Linked DNA regions of Mytilus edulis. The protein of the gene in region 2 purifies or fractionates together with the protein of the main gene of each other region. This does not show direct contact. Links are inferred from orthologs where the notes say so. Each region holds a gene or a part of one and is shown on either strand. Other genes may lie near its edges. The genes, in order: protein LSM14 homolog A-like and ATP-dependent RNA helicase me31b-like.

Evidence for each region.
Region 1: the proteins of ATP-dependent RNA helicase me31b-like (region 2) and protein LSM14 homolog A-like purify together in Caenorhabditis elegans (affinity purification with mass spectrometry; 3 studies listed by BioGRID, with this or other methods). This does not show direct contact. The link is inferred for Mytilus edulis from reciprocal best matches to the Caenorhabditis elegans genes cgh-1 and car-1.

The regions. Positions count from the first base shown.
Region 1 is NC_092348.1:83,810,480-83,822,106, reverse strand, and holds the start of protein LSM14 homolog A-like, read left to right. Parts: upstream 1-6,779; 5' UTR 6,780-6,913; coding exon 6,914-7,034; intron 7,035-11,330; coding exon 11,331-11,503; intron 11,504-11,627. Other genes in the region: transcription initiation factor TFIID subunit 4-like, read right to left, coding at 101-228, 572-741, 1,281-1,435, 1,921-2,067, 2,357-2,446, 3,003-3,142, 3,606-3,765, 4,181-4,324 and 1 more. UniProt on the Caenorhabditis elegans protein: Transcriptional regulator. Involved in modulating embryonic expression of ATP-dependent chaperone cdc-48.1. May play a role in mRNA gene silencing, and RNA granule (P-body) assembly.
Region 2 is NC_092348.1:72,001,500-72,012,783, reverse strand, and holds the start of ATP-dependent RNA helicase me31b-like, read left to right. Parts: upstream 1-7,033; 5' UTR 7,034-7,275; exon of another isoform or gene 7,276-7,383; intron 7,384-10,065; 5' UTR 10,066-10,144; coding exon 10,145-10,227; intron 10,228-11,284. UniProt on the Caenorhabditis elegans protein: Probable RNA helicase required for oocyte and sperm function. Also required to prevent the physiological germline apoptosis mechanism killing essentially all developing oocytes.

The DNA.
Region 1 (11,627 bases), about 12 Mb from region 2:
ATTTTCAAAACAGCTAACCCATGATGTTTTGCTTAAAAAGGAGAGTCTGTAAAAAATACCTTCCCATGACAATTTGCTTAAAACAAAAGTGTGTACTTACTTTATAAATTTCTATTCTATGTTCTGCTATTGTTGCTAATTTTTCTACTAAGTCACGTAATCGTTCTTGTGTAGCATGAGATACAAGGTTAAGAACATCATTAGTTACATCTAAACCATGCTTCCTCGCTGAAAAATATAATACATAAAATTGTTGAATAAATATTTTTAAGTAATAAATAGTTGATTTAAAAGTTTTATTTCATTTTAACTGAAAAGGGTCTTATTTTATTAGTAATCCTTACAGCGGCAAATAGTTGTCGGCAATGATTATATCCCATATTGCTCCTCAATCAAATAACTTTATTTCTTAAAAATCATCACAAAAACAAGATTGAGGTAAGTACAAGAAAATTAACATATCTTGTAGAAATGCTGTCGGATAATTTGTCCTATTTTACATAATTGATGAAAAGCATGTTGAAAACTAACTGACGCCTGCAGCAAAGAAACATTGCAATAATTACTATACCTATACAAGAAACTCTCTTCTGTAAAGCTGAGTGGTGTAAAAAGGCTTCATCAGAACAGGACCTGATGTGTGTACCAATAAACTCTGAATTGCTGGCTAATATATTCCTACTCTCCTCTGTCAGGTTTACACCACCCATAGTAGCTACATCATTTATATCGTCATCATCTCTGTAAATAATTATCATTTATCCTTCATAGCTACATTATTGATAATATCTTCATTTAATCTTCTATGATTTAAAAAAAAAAATTGGATTTTTTGATTGCATTGGTTTGATTAGTATGTATAGCATGTAGAAAACCAACAGGTTACAAATGAAATGGATGTCAGCAATTATATATGGCCTTCAACAATTTATTAACCCATACTGTCGACAATAAAAGGAATGCATGTATTGGGATTCGGGAAGACAAGGAGGAAAACATTTTATGTAGTTGTTGATGACTAGAAAGGTGTAGGGTATAAGTCAACAGCAACACAATGAAAAAGAAGTCAACTAGAGAGTATTAATGTTTTCAAATGATATAATATATTCATATCCTACCTATATTACAATTTAATAAATTAAAAAGACAAAAAAACTTGATATAATTAAAACCTGACATTTTCCATATACAAAATTAAGTAAAAAATCTCTAAAACATTCATTTTGAACACTATACAGCAAATTTTCTAAGAAAAACTCTGAACAAGGGACAATACTCACTTCAATGATTCATATTTAGGTTTAGCACTATGGGGTCTACTGGCTGATGGACTTGCCACCGGGTGTCCTGCCGTCATTACTGTCTTAGGAATAACTGGTCTCTGTTGCATTCTAACTTGGTTAGGTCTTATATGTTGTAATCCATCCATTGGCTGCTAAAAAGAGGCAAATATCTGAATACATTGATTTATAATAATGATATTCAGACGTACATAGTGTGGATTTAAGGGTAACTGTCTCACTCTGCCCCCATTCATTTAAGATTTTGAAAGTAATTTCGTTTTAAGATAACCCAAGAAAACTGCAACCTTGCTCAACTGGTCCTTAAAATATCAGCTAACATTTAACTACATTTAAGATAATTGGTTTACGAAGAAATGATATGGCAACAGGAACTTCCACTCTTACCAAGATAACCAAATACACTTTCCAGGCAGCTAAGAAATTTACAAAAAATGTGTCCAAATTATGAATTTGAAAATTCTAACTAAATTTTCAGTTTGCTTTTGAAACTATTGTGCAATAACTTGTTGATCTTATATACCACAAAAGTCTCACTGCTATAAAAAGTGGCCTGAGAAGTTAAAATTTGTTTTTGTATGGTCTCTTCTCTAATTCCAGAATGTATCCATATAATTACCTGCTGCAACCTTATGTGGCTTGGGTGTGGTTGTATATTTGAACTACCGAATGCCGTGCCTTTCATAACCTCTATTGGAGGTGCTTTTACTCCTTCTATATGCATCTTATTTTCTAGCAAGGACTGCCGTAAATGTGGTAGACTTTTCTGAAATTATATCAATGTATGAGTTCACCTACTATTATATTTCTAAACAAGAAAATGAGCAACGTATGGATTATGTAGAAAAGATATAGAGAACATAGAATGCAACTTAAAACTATAAAGAAATGCAAGTTTAATGTTGTTTATGTTTATTAAATAAAAAGATAGAATAAAGCTAGTTAAAACTTCATTTTGTAGAAACATTGAAACTGATTAAATTAATCTGAAATTAAGGGAAACATTTAATTTAAAAGGTGTATATATAAGTCACTCCTATAAAGGCTATAGTTACCTTGAGAAATGGCACTAAATATGGTTGAGGTGATGATTTAAGTTCTTTCTGTAACCTTTCAGTAAATTGTTCTGGTTCAACTTTATTGTCCTGTAATAAATATTTAATATATGAGTATATATCGGAAATTACAAAAATATGCATGGTCTAAAACATTGATAAATGTGTGAGCACTGTGGTAAAACATAGCATACTATATGAACTGTAGTAAACATGTTTCTTCACACAATTTTATCTCATTATATTACGAAGTAGGAAAAGATGTTTATTTAAAAAAAAAATCTGTGAATAAAATCATCATGGATACCAGGCTTTAAATTTTGTACCCCAGATTTGTGTTTTTTTCCTAGAAAAGACTCATCAGTCATTCAGTGATGCTCGAATTAAAAACGTGAAAAAGGCCAAATAAAGTATGAAGTTGACTAGCATTAATATGATTAAGAACCCAAACTTTTACTCAAAGTTTAGTAAAATGGGCTAGTGATATATATATAGATTTTAGATAAATAATAGCAATAAAATGCATATATATGTCATTAACAAAATGTCAAAAAGTTTGTAATCCTCTGTAAAAACCTCTCCAATAAATATGCAATCCTTGCAGAATCAATTTTTAGAAAAAAAAACCAGTATCAAATATACTTACTATTAGTCCTTGGATAAGTTCTCTGACATTCTTCACAGTTTGTTCTGGTTGACTTGCTGCTAGTTTGATCAAAGTTGACAAGAAATTTTTACATTTTTTCACATTATCTAATGGTTGTTGATGATGACCTGGTAATGAACCTGTAAACATAAATTCAGAAATGATGATAGAAAAACAAAACATTAATTATTTCTATTCATCATCTAATAAAATGCTTAGTTTAAGAATATCAAAATCTACCTGGTTTATCACGATATTGGTGCATTATTGTCCCTGAATATTAACCTATCTGGTTCAGAACTGAAAAAGGTGTGACAGCTTTATTTATCATGTCTATAATATCATTTCCCTTTATTTGGTATGAAAATAAAACTGTAAAAGTTAAAACTTCGAAATTTGGAATAGGGTTTATTTTTGCTGAAAATCATGCATGGAAAAGAGACTGCTTTATTTATCATAGTTCCTGGAAACAAAGTCTGTCATATTACTGTCATTGAGTCATTGTGAAGAGAATTGGTTTTAAATTATATTTTTGTTTTATCTGAACTTTTCTTTTTAACAAGTATTGAAATAAAATTTTCATGACAATTTTGAGTTATCTACCTTGACTTGCAGATGGTGGTTGAGATACAACTGTAGGAACTGATGATGTCACTGATGGTTGAGTATTTGGTCTGACTACCCTCGGAGGTTGTGCTTGTTGTGGTTGAATAGTCACAATCTGTGAATTTGGAGGGCGCTGCTGATGTGAACTTACAGGTGGCTACAAAGATAATGCATGTACATGTAAATTGAAATACATAAGAATTCAAGGTATCAAGTTGCATATATGTACATGTTGTATGTTGGCCTATCATGCCTATTGTCTAAATATGTCAAATTAAATTGTTACCAACATGTAACATATAAAATTAAGGACTACATAAAACACGGCAGGATATAAACTACACCATGCAGAAAATCTGGAAGAGAATGTGATATTGAAATGATTTAATAAGATAGTATATTGGGGGGAATGAGGCAATTGACTCCTTGTTAATTCATAGCTCCATCTGACGTAATCAGCTTGAATTACCTGCTTGCTTGAACTAATTAAAGTTCATTCAATGTATAATTATTAATTTCCAATAACTTTTGATAATACTATAAAGTCTGTCGGGCAGACAATCAATACATACCCTGACATACTGTATTCTTTGGCCTTGTGTAGTAGGTTGCTGAGATGCATGTAAAGCAGGGACAAACATCAGCTGACCTTGTTCATTTCTCATCAGTACTGTCCCAGGAGGAATTTGCACACCAGGCGGTAATGTAATTGTATTCTAAAAAAGTAAACAGGAAATGTTAGTCTATTAGTATAAGGTTGAATGAGGTATATTGATATCCGACATTTAAACAACAAATCCAAATAAAAGGAAAACAGATATAATTCATATAAATATTGCAATTGTCAAATGTCGGCAGGGTTTCTATGAATGCACTAAAAATGTATATTCTTGAACTAAAACAGCATTGCTCTACACAGAACTTTATCTAAAAAACTCACAAAGGTTTGACTTTTTTGTTTAAATATTTGAAATTAATCATATCTTGCAATATATTTATTGTGATATTTAGAAGCTACATGTATGTATTATAAACTTTAAGAATTATATGAATTACACATTTTTAAGAAAAATTATCAGACAATTAATATAAACCAATTTTAATAATTAAATCAAAACATACACTTGCTTCTTTATATTTCTTAAAAGAAAACGAACGAAATTACTAGGATGCAAAAACAGACATTCCTGAGCAGGGTTGACTGAGGGGCAAGCAATTATATTATTTTTTGAATGGCCTTAGAAAGGTGTACATGTGTTGTCTCCCTTTGATCTGGATAGCTGTACAGTTTTTTATCATACTTTTTTATTTTCTGTGATAATGTTACAATCTTATATATATTCATTTGTACAGGTGGGTAGTAAACAATTGAACTTTTTTTTGTAAATTTGTCAAGTTTTTACACATGATACATGTAGTTATCATCATTATGATATGATACATGTACATGTAGCTATGATAGTACTTATACTATCTGGCCACATCATTTTATGTGTATTTAAAATTGCAGTGTATAATTATGTCATTGCCAAAGAAAAATTACAAATTGAAGCATGATAATTTAGATTAATTAAAGTCTAAAAAGAGTTATTCCCCTTTTGATGACAAACTATAGAAATTGTGCTAATACAGTGTAGATTGGTTCATGTGCATGTTAATTACTGTACACATATATATAAGGTAAATAACAGTTGCTTACTTTAAAACAAGTCATATATACGGGTAACTGGAGCAAAAATTGCTTGTGGCTGTGCCCCTAAACATGTTTGAATATATGAAATCAAGGCAATATAACATTACACCAAACATTAATCAAGAGCTTATTGTATATCTTTCATAGCTGTTTTATACATTAACATACATGTACATCTCCGAAAGATACAATGTACATGCATGTAATCTTTACATTTTCTTTCAAAATTTTGTTACTCTTCTACATGCCCATGTCAGATTAAAGTGAGCTAGTCTAGAAAAAATAAACAAAGTAGCAAGTGGTATATAACTTACAGGAGCACCACCAGGTCTTGGAGCAATGTTTATTTGAGAGTGACGAGCTGGTGTAGCTATACGGACTGGTTGGTGTTTTCCATGAGGCACCTGTACTATTCCAGGTGGTCTATTTGAATGAGCACTAACATTAACAACTTGCATTTGTCCTGAATTTTGTACAATTTGTGGTCGCATTACTACATGTTGCGGACCTGTTTTCACTGTAATAACACCCGAATGGCCTTTGATTGGAGCATTTACAATATGAACATTGGTTGCATGTGTAATATGATTTCCTGATGTATATACACTATTTTGAAGTCCTGTCACTGCTTGTATAGCTGCTGTCCTTGGTTCATTTTTCACACTTGATACAGGCATATTTTCGGTTTTGACAATATACTGTGAGCTTATTGCTGGTTCTTGTTTAACACACACATTTTGTCCACCTGGAATTTGTTGACTAGATGATACTTGAATACAGTTTCCTTGTGACATTAAAGGTTTATGATCTCCTAATATTGCAACATTTTGAATAATAGCACTATTGTCTGGTTTGATTGCATGCTGCGAACTAGCGGATATGGCTGGATTTGAATTTGGCGATGGAACTGGTGAATTCCTTGCATTCTGAAAACCTGGAGAGTTTGATACTGTTCTTATTATGTGAGGGGACTGAATACGATTTGATTCTGGTATTGGAGAACTTCTATTCACTGTCAATGAGTTCACATGTGTACTAACAATATTGCTTGTTTGTGATGAGTTCATAGGATTTAATATTGAATTGATTCCAATCAACTGTGAGTCTGTTTTTGAGGAGGGAGACTGAACATTTAAATTATGAGAATTTGTGAAGTTTTTGTGAGCTGATACAGCTTGTCCATTGGCACCTACTCCAGTAGCCGTGTTGAACACTGAACCACTATTTTGTGGTGTTGAAGACCTTGTTGTGCCAATGTGATTGTTATTGACTGAGGCATCTGATAAAGAATTAGACACATCCTTATTGGATGGGGAAGCTAGACGTGCTTCTAAATTGCCAACTAAGGCATTAATTGCCAGTTCATCTACAGAACTATTAAGAATATCATCTAGAGGGTTGACAGCCGCCATTTCCCTAGCAGTAAATTTTTAGACTGAAGTACGCAGGCGCAAATCACAGATTTGTGGGACACTTTTTTCAAAAGTACGCCCTCTCGTGACAGAATCAAAACATCCGCCATCTTATATTCTGCTGATACAATATTTTGGATGAAGCAGATAAATCCGTTGGCATCCTCCTTTGTTTGAAAGTTTAGAGATTCCTTGCCATCATGAGTGGGGGGATTCCATATCTTGGTAGCAAAATAAGTCTTATTTCTAAAGCAGGAATTCGATATGAGGGTATTTTATATACCATTGATCCGAATGAATCGACAGTTGCATTAGCGAAAGGTAATATAGATAGCATTCCAGAAAATGAAATATATGCATGTTGTGAAATTAACATCTGCAACAAAAAAATAAATGCGTTTGTCGTTAAAAGCGACAGCATTCCTTTACCTACTCAAAAGTTTGGTGCCATGAAATAACCGGAAAGTTTATGACAAAAGCGATAGGTTTTGCACAAACGACAATGGGTAAACCCAGCACTTCCACTTTGGGAGTAAACACGGTAACGTTTGAGCTTTAGACATTATCATGCAAGTAAACATACTCGACTCTGACATAAAAAAAACGAATTTATGTTGTGAAAGATACCTGGCTTATCCTTGTGTCATGATTTAATATGCCCTACACTGGTTTCGTCTTAAACTAAGAAGATGCATCAGTGGCACTTGATACATTATGGTTAGAATGGATATCAGGTCCGTTCGCCCTAATAACATGTTCAACTTGGGTCTGTTAGCCTTGAGTTCCTTCGTCCATAGAGTCTGTTCGCCCTACTAAAAAAAATATTATTCTTGGCATTGAAGTTAAATAAACTTATTCAGATATTTCTATGGTATAAATTCTTGAAATTTATGGAATTCGAAACATGGAAATATTTAAAAGTTTATGGCTTGTTTAGGATTATTAATTATTCAATCACAAAATAATGCTCACTGATTGTGATACTTGTCTTTTGATGGATTAATAATAAAAACAAACGTTTTGTTTTGATAAAATATTCAGCTTCAAATTAATAGAAACAATGATGTACGAACTGTAAATCATGAGCAGTGATCTGGAAGTTTTTTTTCTCTATGGGCCCAGGGCCCCTCAAAAATAAATTCAATGGGCCATTTTAAAAAATAATGGGCCATGTTGTCAAATGAGTAGGCCATTTGAATTGACTTCTGTAAAAAAAAAAGTATCAGTATATTTTGGCAAAGAGATGTTGATACTTAAATAAAATCATGAATGTAAGTATCAACATCTCTTTGCCAAAATATACTCCATCATGGATATTGTTCCTGTGATTTGGTAATTCAATTTCAATGAATATACAATAACTTCTTCCAACCCCAATAATATTTAAGTCGACCTTTATTTACAATGTTTAAACTGGTACGGTTACCTTGTTCATATTCATGTTTTTTGTACATTAAATTTGGGTCTTCGTCGATACCATACTTCTTTCAGACGTTCCGTATCTATCAGAGGACATTTCGGGCATTTCCTCTGCACTTCTTGTATTATTGTAACTTCATCACATTGACAAGAATAACAAACAGTATAGAGTACCATTAATTCATAGAACAAAACAACAAATCGCTGAAGTCATGTTTACAAAATGTCAAAACGAGCCAAAGACCAAAAAATGACAAGGACACTAAGCGTCTGTTATGGAGATCAAAAACTATATTCCTAAAAAGTCTTTGGGGTTCTTCAATCGAAATAATAGCAAGCTAAACTAAATGAGATTATTATTAGAGTTAAAACTCGTCTGTACTAGCCAAATTTCACAAATTTAAAGTTGTTTATAAAAATAATATATCATGAATGATGGTTAATTACGTTTTTCGGGTTATCCGTTAGACCGCATGGTTCTATTATTACAATAGGAAAACACCGAGACGTTAAATTGCATGGTTCTATTATGATAGGAAAACACCCGAGACGTCCCAAAAATATATAGGTGCTCCTATTATTAGAGGAACTTTACACAGTTGTGTACACACACATGGCGGCACGGAACATTATCGGAAATTCATTTGACGATATCTAAACGTTTCGAAACGAAGTGAAAACTATCGTGCGCCACGTGGGCGCTTACATTTATCAATGTATGCGCCATTGCTTGTCAATATGCGCTATAGGCGCAAGGCGCACGACCTTCCCGATCACTGCATGAGACAGATTTACAAGTTCATTTATTCTTATACTCTTAGACTAGTCTCAGTTATACTGCATACATTGATTCATGATTGACTGAATACAAATTACAATTTTTTTGTTAACAAATATCAATAAAGATAAATACATTCATGACATTGTTTTCCAGTATTCTACTCTGCAAATCAAAGGGAAAATTATAAATTGGTTGTGGCAATATAAATAATGTCAAATTTTAACATATTTTGTTCAAATATTTAGAATTATGCAACTAGACAACACTTTGAAAAAAATAAAAATCAGGGCGAATGGACCCTGGGCGAACAGGTATCAGGGTGTACAAACAATAAGATTTATACCCATAGACCATTAAGAGTCTAACAAGTCGAATTAAGGAAATAGCCACTTCAATTGTTCCACAAAATGCAATCATTGCTGAAAGACTTGAGTGACTATCGATTGATTGGACTTTTGTATTTGCATGTGCTTTGTTTAGGTTGTTCTCATAGAGGTCTGCATTATTATATATTTATAGTCTTACTAGCAATGTTACAAAGATGAATTAGGAACAAGATATATAAAATGATTTATAGTATAATGATAATTATGTGTGCGTTTTCAGGGATCTCCATGACCTGTTTTGTGATGGTGAAGAGATATCTTTTGAATATCTTCTGCACCTTCAAATGAATATATAAAGGAAGATGTGGTATGAATGCCAATGAGACAACTAACATCACCACAAGAGACCAAATGACACAGAAATTAACAACTAATGTTCACTGTACTGCGTTCAACAATGAGCAAAGCCCTTACTGCATACTAGTCGGCTATAAATAGCCCTGTAATGACAAATTTAAAACAAATCAAATGAGAAAACTAAAGGCCTAATTTATGCCTTAAAACCCTGCCATTTTCATGACCCTTAGGCTTTTTATATAATTATCCAAAGGGTCCTCCTGATTTATAGACTTTTAAATCCATCAGTCAAACTTGTGATTTTATAATGACGTATGCAACAAGCACAAGTACCAAAGAAGACATAAAAACAGAGTTTAATTCCAAATCACATGATTACAGCAATTATCAATAATATGGAATAACATTACAAATATAAAAAAAAAACGAATATATATTAATATTAACTGCAACTGATCATGAATAATCTGACAAAATTCTTATGTTGTTATTCTGAATTTATTTCAAAGTTTACAATCAATTGATGCATCTGGTTTTCCAGTTTACATTTTTTGTACATTCAGTATAAAGTAACGCGCAATTTTACACCAGTACCCATACCCTCCTTCCTTGATGGGTGCATTTTACATAGACAAATATAATCGTATAATATAATCAAAATGAGGATGTTAATTTGATGTATGCCTTTTTGTGCTTCTTCGTTACATTTGTTGTTTTTATAGTGATTAAGATGATAACATAATGTTGACTGCTGTACCCCTATTTTTGACATTTTTACCTATTATGTCTGTTTGTTTTGTTCACGCATCGGTGACTATATAATGGAATTTGATGCGACTGTCATACAAGTGAGAGGTTTAGCTAGCTATAAAACCAGGTTCAATCCACCATTTTCTACATTTGAAAATGCCTGTACCAAGTCAGGAATATGACAGTTCTTGTCCATTCGTTTTTGATGCGTTTTGTTATTTGATTTTGCCATGTGATTATGGACTTTCCGAATTGATTTTCCTCTGAGTTCAGTATTTTTGTGATTTTACTTTTTGCTTAGTACAAATGTATATTTGTATCTAAGAACAAATGTATATTTGTATAACTTTCGCTAGTTAGTCATTAAAACTTTTTAATTGTTAATGTTAATCTTTCTTCAAGTTCAATGCTTTACTATTACGAAACTTCTTGTTGTTGATGCTGCAAATCAGCAATACTGATTCATGACTCCTGAATTTCTCAATGAAATATTTAAGCCTTAAACCATTACCTAAATAGCAAGAAAAGGACATGGGAACCTTGAGGACAGCTTGTGTTTACCGTTCCTTAATTAGAAATAGAGGAATGAAATACTTTGGCCCACTAGGTAGACGCTAAGTTTTGTCATGTTAAAAGTTCCTCCATCATTAAATTTTCATCCATGGAGATCCCTCTGAATGCAAAAGAAGAATTCTACATATACTGTTTGTCACGTTTCCAGACTTTGTAATAGTCAAGCCAACTCTAAATTCCGATTAATAAAAAGAAATCACAGAAATGTCATATAGGTTGGCCTATATATTTTGTGTTTGTAGGTTTTTTAATGCTGTAGGAAACACTTACTGGAAATTGGCAAACCATTATCATAACTCATTTGCTGTAAGAATACACAATGAGTCGAGGTAAGATATATAAATTTTGGCAAGTAGCCATGATATTTTATGTAGTTTGAACAATAATTATTCTTTCTTTTTCTATTTTCAGTTCGTTCATTTGGAACTGAAGATCGACCAACTGATCGTCCTGTAGCACCTAGAGATGAGATATTTGAATATATAATATTTCGAGGCAGTGATATCAAAGATTTGCATGTCTGTGAGCCACCAAAACCACAACCTCTGCAGACAACCTTACCACAAGATCCTGCTATTGTCAAAGTTTGTATCCCATTAATGTTTTAAACAATTTATATAGAGAATAGAATAGACAAGTAATTATCAAGGAGGTTGCACTTATATTGTCTTTTTAAGAATATTAATCAAGAGTAAAATCAAACTTTAG
Region 2 (11,284 bases):
GAACAATTGTATCTCACCTCTTTGACTCGTAGTTTTAGAACAACATCATTCTGTCTACTGTCTATAGGTTTCTTGGTTGTGGCCATATTTATCAGTGTTTATCTGCAAATGTACAGAAAATGAAAACAATATGTCAGAATAAAATGGGAAATGCATCATGTATATCAATGAGTCAGCTATGTGACAAAATACACATATTAAATGCACTACATTGCCAGTGGCGGATCCAGAACTTTTCCTAAGGGGGGGCCCGCTGACTGACCTAAGGGGGGGCCCGCTCCAGTCATGCTTCAATGATTCCCTATATAATCAACCAAATTTTTCCCACGAAAGGGGGGGGCCTGGGCCCAGCCCCCCCCCCCTGGATCCGCCTATGATTGCTGATACTGCTTGCATTGCCTTATGTTAACAATTACAACCCTCTAATCCTATTCAATGTACAAAGGGGAAAACAATCCCAAATGTAAATAAGTTTAAATATAGAGACAATATTTCATTGAATTCAAACTCATATGTCGAAAATAAACAGACAGACGTGCATGTAACACCATGACCAAACAAGAGGCACTCATTTGTTTGATGGGTTTTATCTTTTGATTTTGCCATTTGATTAGGGACTTTCCGTTTTGAATTTTCCTCAGAGTTTAGTATTTTTGTGATTTTACTTTTGTTAACTTATGGACTTGTAGGAGTCAATATTTGCAATTCTTTAATTTAGGTTAAAAACATGTATTTCTTGATTAAAACTAATTGGACTTATTCATTGTTATTGAAGTCATAAATTGTCTTAAATTAAATGGAGACAAATCTTTGAATCTACAAATTAAGACCTCTATGAGTCAAAAGCAGATTTAGACTTATTTATGTCTGAGCTCTGACTGTTTATATATAACTTTATTTTAATGAACTGTTGGATATTTGTTAGTCTGCAAAACTATACAGTTACAGTCTTTTGATGAGGTAAATATGTGGTTTTATTGACTTTTGAATAACTGATATACACTGAGGCAATGGAGGCCGAAGTGAATATCAGTTTTTTAAGTCAATTTAACCACATATTTACCGAAACCAAGGAATTGTATATTCCTTGCCGAAACAAAAGACAGTAATTGTTTTATTCCATATTCTGAGAGAAATGTATACATGTAATGGAATGTAATTACCAAAACCAATTGTACATCAAAGGATTTTTACCAAAATTATACATGTAAAAGTATGCGACATTTTGTGTGGTGAATAAACTTTTTCCTTCGGTGAATATGCTTATTTATTCAAAATCTGATTCATATATAGAAAACCCTATTAAAGTTATATCAATATGGAATAATCTAAGTTATTCTATAAAAAATCACTTATTGTCTGCCAGTAAAACACACAAAAATTTGAAAATGAATAGGTGAACTATAGGTGAAAACCGTAAAATCATTGAAAAATTATGTAAAGCAGTGATTTTTGTTTCCATGATAATCAAAAGTGTTTATTCTGAAAACATAAACTAAAACTCTATGCTAAATCAAAATGAATTGAAAATGTGAAATGTATGCGATCTTTCTTAATGCGACTTCTAAATACTAAATAAATTTAAAGTGTGTGTCTTACAAAACAATAACATTACAATAATAAATAGTCTAGGACATCAAATTGTGATCAAAATATTTCGTCCCAAACACAGAGGTTAGTAAAGTGTTGATTCTATCAAGTAGTTTGGCAACTTTGTACAATTCGAGTTGACCTTTCATTTTTATCTCACCTTGCCCGAAGGACCAAGTGGGCTTTTCTCATCACTTTGCGTCCGTCGTCCGTCGTCGTCATCGTCTTTTAACTTTTACAAAAATCTTCTCCTATGAAACAACTGGGTCAAATTTAACCAAACTTGGCCACAATCATCGTTTAAAAAATGTGTCCGGTGACCCGGCCAACCAACCAAGATGGCCGCCATGGTTAAAATAGAACATAGGGGTAAAATGTAGATTTTGGCTGATATCTCTGTATTTAGAGCAAATCTGACATGGGGTAAAATAGTTTATCAGGTCAAGATCTATATGCCCTGAAATTTTCAGATGAATCGGAGAACCTGTTGTTGGGTTGCTGCCACTAAATGGGTAATTTTAAGAAAATTTTGCAGTTTTTGGTTATTATTTTGAATATTATTATAGATAAAGATAAACTGTAAACATCATAATGTTCAGCAAAGTAAGATCTACAAATAAGTCAACATGACCAACATGGTCAGTTGACCCCTTAAGGAGTTATTGTCCTTTATAGTCAATTTTACAAATTTTTCGTAAATTTTTGTAATCTTCTACAAAAATCTTCTCCTCTGAAACTACTGGGCCAAAACTTAGCCACAATCATTATTAGAGTATGTAGTTCAAAAAATATGTGCGGTAACCCGGCCAACCAACCAAGATAGCCGCCATGGCTAAAATTAGAACATAGGGGTAAAATGTAGATTATGGCTTATAACTTTGAAACCAAAGCATTTAAAGCAAATCTGACAAGCATTTAAATTGTTCTATCTGCCCTGAAATTTTCAGATGAATTGGACAACTGGTTGTTGGGTTGCGGTCCCCCAATTGGTAATTTTTAAAGAAATTTTGCAATTTTTGGTTATTATCTTAAATACTGTTATAGATAGAGATAAACTGTAAACAGCAATAATGTTAAGCAAAGTAAGATCTACAAATAAGTCAACATGACCAAAATGGTCAGTTGACCCCTTAAGGAGTTATTGCCCTTTATAGTCCATTTTTAACAATTTTCATTAATTTGGTAAATTTTTGTAAATTTTTACAAAATATGTTCAACTGTAACGAAAGGGCCAAGTTTATTATAGATAGAGAAAATTGTAAGTAGCAAGAATTTCAGTACATAAGGATCTACAAACACATCACCATCACCAAAACACAATTTTGTCATGAATCCATCTGTGTAATTTGTTTAATATGCACATAGACCAAGGTGAGCGACACAGGCTCTTAAGAGCCTCTAGTTTGAATCTCAAAAAGTGGCGGGGTTTATTTCAAAATGCAAATAAAATCCGTATAGGTAAACTATACGATTGATAATAAGAGAATTGAGGATTTTAATACAAATTTATTTTAAAGAACGTTATCCACCGATTCCTTCTGCTTTGTACGGGCCGGCTAAACTCCATCGTCTACTTTCAAAGAATTCATTAAGTAACATTTCAGAGAATATTAGCGATTTCAATTTGAGTTCAACGAGTCTCGTTGATCCCTGATTTTAGGGACATTTGGTCAACTGGCATCAGATAACATTCTTTTGATGAATGCTGCACCTGAATCGAAACACTACGTCTAGAACAAATACGCTGGGGGTGATACTACATTTATTCGACCAAACATCTTTTATTATCTTTTGAAATTGAAGTTGATGTTTTTTTATAATGAAAGATATAAAAGATGTAAATAGAGGAGAGTGTTTAAGATGCGACGAATTTATTAAAAAAAGCAAAACAAGAACGTGATGATGAGCGTGATCCAAACAAAATTGTATATATTCTAATGTACTTGACGATGAAAAATATCCAAAAAGTGAAAATGTACGTCACACTAAAACTTAGAAACATGTTAACGAACTAAAATTAAAAAAACCAAACATAAATGACTTACAAAGGCCAGAGGATCCTGACTTGGGACAGGCGCATAAATGCGGCGGGGAGAAATATGTTATGACCATAATGTGATATCTCAACCCCCCTCTAAACCTCTAGCCAATGAAAATAAACAAACACACAGCAATACGCACAGTAAAAGTTCTTAAAACTCAGTTTAAAAGAAGTCCGAGTCCGATGTCAGAATGGGTAACCGTTAAAAAGAAATTAATAATTCATATGTTTCCAGATAGATTTTTTTTATAAACAAAACAAATAAGAGGGACTTCAGTATTATCAAAATTGCAAATAATTTGTTCGTTAACAGAATAGTTTTTTTAAAATGTCGTTAATACTTACAAAATCAAAAACCTTTATTGACATATTTGTTTTTAATCAAATGTTTTTTTTTGTTATCTTCAGAGCGAATTTTGAGAAACAGCTTAGAATAGTAATATGCAATTAAAATTTGAACGATTTCATACTTAGTTCAGTGTATGTTCACTTGTTTTTGTTAATATGTCTTTTTATGAGGGGGGATAGGAGGGGTCCTGATCCCGAAATCCAGGGCTTGAAAACACGAAATCCCGAGGTCCCGAATTTAAATAAAGTAAATCCCGACGTCCCGAAATCCAAAAAAAAATAAAAAAATTCCCGAATCCCGAAATCCCGAGCTTAAAAACACCTGATCCCGGAGTCCCCCCTCATTTATTGAGTTAAGCCATTCCAATTAATGTTTTATAGTGTATCTTTCTATGTTGTAATGTTACACTAATGTTTCAGGTAAGGGTTACGGTTGCTACCTATTTTAAAACGGTTAAACATGCTGCATATGTTTGCATCTGTATTAAGTCAGGGACCTGATGTTCGGTGGTTGTAAATTGAGTATGCGGTTCTTAAAGTGTTTCTCGTTTCTCATTTTGTATACATAGATTATGCCGTTGGTTTTCCTGTTTACTAACGATTGGTTTTAAAATAGTCAATTTTGGGGCCCTTTATATGTTGCTGTTCGGTGTTTGCTAAGCCGTCCCCGTGATGAAAAGCGTACTATATTGATTGATTGGTTAAATATTTCTCAGTCATGTCCTGTGTTTGAATTTGTTTATTAGCTTTTTGGTCATGAATGTTTGTCTCTAATATTTAATTAACTGTGCATTTGTATTCAGATATCGCAGATCAAATTTATTCGTTCATTGTTTAATCATACGTTTTTTGATTGAATTAAGTCTCCCAATTGATATTTTATCGTATGTTTTTCTTTGTTGTGATGTTATGCTATTGTTTCAGAAAAAGGGAGAAGGTTTGGATCCATTAAAACGTTTAATCCCGCTGCAAATGTTTGCACCTGTCCTAAGTCAGGAAGTAGTTGTCGTTTGTTTATGTAATATATACGTATTTCTCGTTTCTCGTTTTGTTTATATAGATTAGACCGTTGGGTTTCCCGTTTGAATGGTTTTACACTAATAATTTTGGGGCCCTTTATAGCTTGTTGTTCGGTGTGAGCCAAGGCGCCGTGTTGAAGTCCGTACTTTAACCTATAATGGTTTACTTTTTAAATTGTTATTTGTATGGAGAGTTGTCTCATTGGCACTCACACCACATCTTCCTATATCTATGACCTATAATGATTTACTTTAACAAATTGTAAATTCGATGGAGAGTTGTTGCATTGGCACTTACACCACATCTCATCATATCTAATTAGGTCTGCAATATGGAATATGCCAGTGTTGGAAATCAAATTTGATGTGATTTATTAACAGGCAAAGAACCGAAAGCTTTGTTAACAGATTATGTCTACTGTTGTTTTGTTTAAATAGTAATAAATGTCCGAAATATTTGTATTGTTCCTACGACTGAAATTTCTTTGATTGCAATTTATTTAACTCCCATAAGAACGGTTTTTACGATCAGTTTTAGAAACTATATTGTATCCAAAATGTTATTTATAGAATCGGTTCTTGATATGTTATCAATTCTCTTGATATTATCAATAAGACCGAGAGGAATGGCTGTCTGTATTTTTATGCCCCACCTATGATAGAAGAGGGGCATTATGTCTTCTGGTCTGTGGGTCCGTCCGTTCGTCCATTGTACAGTCCTTCCGTCAGTTCGTCCAATCTAATTAAAATATTGATCTCTGACTACGTTATACCTCATATGGATAGTTGTTAGATCTCATATGTAGTATAACGTAATCAGAGATTAATATTTTAATTAGATTGTCCGTTCGTCCGTCTGTCCCGCTTCAGGTTAAAGTTTTTGGTCAAGGTGGTTTTTGATGAAGCTGAAGTCCAATATCAACTTAAAACTTAGTACACATGTTGCTTATGATATGATCGTTCTAATTTTAAAGCCAAACTATACTTTTGACCCAAATTTCACGGTTCAGACCACTGAACATAGAAAATGAAAGTGCGAGTTTCAAGTTAAAGTTTTTGGTCAAGATAGTTTTTGATGAAGCTGAAGTCCAATCAACTTGAAATTTAGTACACATGTTCCCTATGGTATGATCTTTCTAATTTTAATGCCAAAATTAAATTAGACTTTTACCCAATTTCACGGTCCATTGAACATGGAAAATGATAGTGTGAGTAGGGTATCCATGTAAGTAAGTAAGTAAAACTTTATTTGGATTCGGCATATTGACAAACAATACAAACATATAAAGCTCAAATGAGCTTTTCACCGAATATAAACATATGCAATAACAAATAAAACAAGGCATGCAGTATCATGCAATAAATAATAAAAAGCAGCACCAAAAATTAACTCTAAGCAAATAGCATATCCATGTATCTTGCAAAATACCAGAACATATATATGAAGCACCAATTTTTTTTTAAATTTGCAGTTAAAAATATTTTTTTTTTTAATTTATGATTTATAAAGTAAAAATTTCAAATCTTTCAAATTTTAAAATGTATAAAACAAAATTTCAGTTGCAATGCAAGCTGTTAATGCAGCATAAAAAGCATAAATATTGTAACAGAAATTATCTACAGGCAGACTCGCAAAAACATTCCGTTCCACTCCAGGACTGCCGGAACAAGACTCTTAAAATGTGAGAAGCAGTCCTGAAATGGTCTGGTAAGCTATTCCACAAAGAAGCAGCAGCAAAACTAAAAGATTTTTTTCCACCTGAGATAGTTCTAACCTGTGGTATTTCCAAAATATTACTGTATCTAAAAGAATAGTTTAGTTTAATTTGGAGTAAATTTTGTAAACATACAGGAGCCAAATTATTTAAAATTTTAATACAATTTAATTCAACTATTTCGTACAGACTTTTTGATTCCCCATGCTGCTTTTTAAGTACTGTTTTAATTAGATGTTAAAACTTATTTGTCTAAAAATGTGTTCCCTGTTGTTGACTACATGTACCATTAATCCACCCTTTAGCAGAAGATGACAACCGGAAGTTTATTTGTTTTGCAGATTTCTTGGGTCAAAGTTCAAATATAGTTTCAAAAATTTCCTTAGCACTAAGATAAAACCTATTTTCTAATTTAGTTTGAATTGAGTATCTTAAATTAGTTTTATTTAAACAAATTTAAATCTGAAACTAAAGCAAAACAGCGATATAAGTCCCATTTGTTCAAATGGAAACAAAACAACAACGCCACCTATCGCTCAATCGGCCATTTTGAATGTTATTGGTAAGTTTGGTGGTCAAGATATAAATCCCCAGCCATCGGACTTATAGATAAACAAAGAACTCTCAAATTTTACAATCATTGAGTTGAAACATTTAATTACCTGAGAAAGTATTTATTTTACATTGAAAGATATGTTCCGTTGTAATTTAAGTAATAATTCATCCACTCTATAACGAAACAGCTGATTTTTTTTTTATAATTATTACCAAATATTTATTGCAAAGCCAACAACCTACGCGGATTTTACAAAAGTATATAGAGTTTTCATTATGTATTAAGTACGACTGTTAATTCAAGATATGAAAATTGTGCTGGAATTCATTAGAAAATATACGAACTCCCGAGACCGGTATAAATAACCGATTTCAATAAGACGCCAAAAAGAAATACCTTTCTGTAACCCGCATCAGGTTCCAGTAAGACACTCACCGTCTGCCAGTTATAAACAATGACAACCATAAATGAGGATGTTGAATTTGGATTATCTTTTTTTAATTTAACTCTAACTATAGTCTTTCAAAGAAATTTTGACCCCCCCCCACCCCCCCCCCCCCCCTTTCTCAACATCTATGTAGTTTTGAACTCGTCAAATTGTTGATGATGATGGAAGAAGGTCACACATTAGCTTATTTCGTCATAAACGCACAGTAACCAAAATAAAATCATTCTTGTAATTGTTTTATCCTCCTAACATGCCTAAAGGGATAGAAAAGAATAAAATTGATAGGTTCAAGAGTTTATTTATAACTGAAATACCGTGATTTACCATATTTTGCCAATTTCCATTTAATAAATTACATCATCAGCAAAAAAATTGTTTTATTCAGGCCAAATTTATATCAGAATGATATCATTGGCAATGTATTTGTTTTAAATTTAGTCCAAATAATTATGTCTGGCAAGGCTATTTTATTTTTTTCTGGGACACCTTCCTACAAAGTAACGCTGAAGCCATTTTTACGTCTGGACTTAGAGTGCAAATATTTTTGGAACTTTGAGACCTAATTTTGACATTTTCATTGCAGACTAGAAATTTTCACGTAGTTACAAAGTCCTACCTCTTTGTGCTTATTGACACAAAGTTTTCCTGAAATATTTAAAAGAAATGATAAAATGAGATATACTTCCATTTCAGTGTTCCAGCTAGGCCGTTTTCAGAGGGCGCTGCGCCCGCCCCAGTCTGCACGGTTAGCCACTAGTCCGATGCCCCAGACTAGTAAAATTTCATTCGGACTAGTAAGTTTTTGCAAAACTTTGTTTGGCCCAATAAGAAAAATGTCAGAATATTGGTCTTCGGACTAGTAGTTGAAAAAGTTTTTGGTGCAGACTGCCGCCCTTTTCCGAGTGGCGCCCTGTGCCCTTTTTACAGTTTCCAGGGCGCCCTGCCTTTTTTGAAGATTGATTGCATATTAATTTGCGTATTGATATGATACGCTAATTACTAAATTTTACCTGGGGAAAAGATTATGACTTTGTTTACCACCCCAAGCTAATCAATGGTTACAACTGGTGTCATAATCTGTTGTTATAGGTAATCCGTTTATCGGATGGGTCATTAATGATCATCAACATTAATTCGTTCAAATAGAATCGGTCAGTCGGCAATTATCTTTGAAGAAATGTGCATACAACAACTTGGGCATAATTTGCGATGTTTACCGTAGTTTCATGGAAGAAACGTAATGACAGAAAGTTGGAAAACCATTATAAACTCGTTGAAGACATTGTTTTACTTGTTTTCTGTAAAATAAACAGAAAATTCAGACGTATTTGTCATTGACTGCCTTCATTTTTGATACGAAAATAATAAAATCGGCCGCCATATTGTGATCATATTTACATCATATTTACGTACTGTTTATAATCCTCCAAAGAAGGAGCACACCCGAATAAAGAAAGATAACTCAATCTGATTTTTTTCCTAGCATTGAGTAACCCATTTACATATTCTAAAATGTGTCTCCATACTTCTTGCTTAAGAATATATATGTTTAGGTATTTATTTTGAGTTATGGGAAAAGTTAAAGAGGGTCTTAGTAGCAGTGTTGGTAGGGTGCCTTGGTCATCTTTTTCTGTATTCTTTATTTTTGATACTATTTTTCACTGTTGCTTTATATCCTAAAATTGTGAATTTACTGAGCACAGCTGTTTTGTGCTGTATTGCCATCAAGCACAGCAGGGGTAGAAAGGTGAAACTGGTAAAATGTGGTAGACCATAGAAACAGTATGAAACAGATCTCCTTTCAAAACATACTGCATATAAAGTTCAACTGTGCCAAGCAATGATAAAAAAACTTGTGTGACAAGCTGCTTGACAAGTTTTTCAGCCTTAAAAGTAGAAAGATAGAGTTCTATATGGGCTAAAGATGTTGTTCTTGTATAACCTGTGATTCAACGAATAAACACAAATGTTTGATTAACATCTTTTATTAAAATATGCCCTTTCATATTATCATATCGCGCATTAAATGCCCTTTTTCAGGATTGGCACCCTGCCCTTTTGAAAACCTAGCTGGAACACTGCATTTGTTATTTTGAGGTGGGCAAATATTTATTTTGTTTTTCAATTAATTTTCCAGAATCTAAAGAAACTCCACTTCCAGTGAAAATAAAATAGAATATTAAACTCGGTCAAATCTGATGGACCCAAATTTCCAGAATGTTGGATTTACATTATCCCGCAATTCGGGTCACCAATGTTTCATATATCAAAGTGGGGTTACTACTGGGAAAAAAATCTTTCAATCTTTTAAATGCAATTTACATAGGTTTTATTTTGTGTATTTTCAGATTCAGATATCGCTGATGAGTTTCACATAAGTGAATATTTCGCTGCGTAAATAAATAAAAAGGAGTTTTGGATACATAAATGATGGCTTCAGCCAGAATGGAACAAAATATGAACCACGCTGGACCTCCACCCATGGATGGGAAAGGGAATCCTGGCACAGGGTATGGTCAATTTATGAACAACCAACAGAGAAAAGTGAAAATCAAACAATTTAAGATAATCAATGATCATGCATGAGTGAGAAATTAGTTGTAAACAGCAATAAGACAGCAATTCTAATGAAAGTAATCACAAAGCATTCTTTAATAAGCAACCACAATGAATTGCATATATTTTGAGATCACATATATTGATTACATACAAGAACTATTTTTAGCTAAAACTAAATCTTAGAAAACATGGTAAATATCTTGCTCAAAGATTTTGACAGCTACACATTTGTAAAAGATATGAAAATAAGACTTGTATGATTGTCAATGAGACATTCAACTAGAGACCAAATGATATAAATGATTTTAAGTAACCGTACAGCTTTCAGCAATGAGCAAAAACCCATTCCACATAGCTTTAAAAGACCCTGAAATGACGCATATAAAACAATTCAAACAAGAAAACTGATGACCTGATTTATGTACAAAACAATGAATGAAAAACTAAAGGATATTCTTCAACAAGTCATTGAATCACTTAGTACTGAATGTTAAAGGTTACACAAGTTTTTTTTTATGCCAAACCTGATCACCCTAACCTGGGACAGTGGCATTACAGTACAACATTAGAACTAACTATGAAAATAGTTCTAAAGGGTTAACTCATTAGATTGATACAAAGCAAAAAGACATACCCAACTTGGCAGAGTATAAATACGTTCCCACAACAAAAAACAACATGTTAAGTACACATCTGAGAGTAGTTGAAGTTACTTAAAGCTATTTCAAAGCAAGGCTTTCCAAAGAAGGCGGTAGACGGCAGATTTCCACAGTTTACAGTCGCTTCAAGTGCAAGCTACTTCACTGATAAAAATATAAATTCAAAAAGAAAAAATATCTTTTTCAATTGTTTTGTTCTTTTTCAATTATTTTGTTTTATTTGTGCCAGAGCTTCTGGGGGCCTTCAGCGGCCCCCCAGACCCCCTGCCATTTTGCCCCAAGCTGTTAAGCTTGGGCGTTTCGACTTCGCCGAATGCATGTTACAGCCACCTGCCACCTATAATTGTAA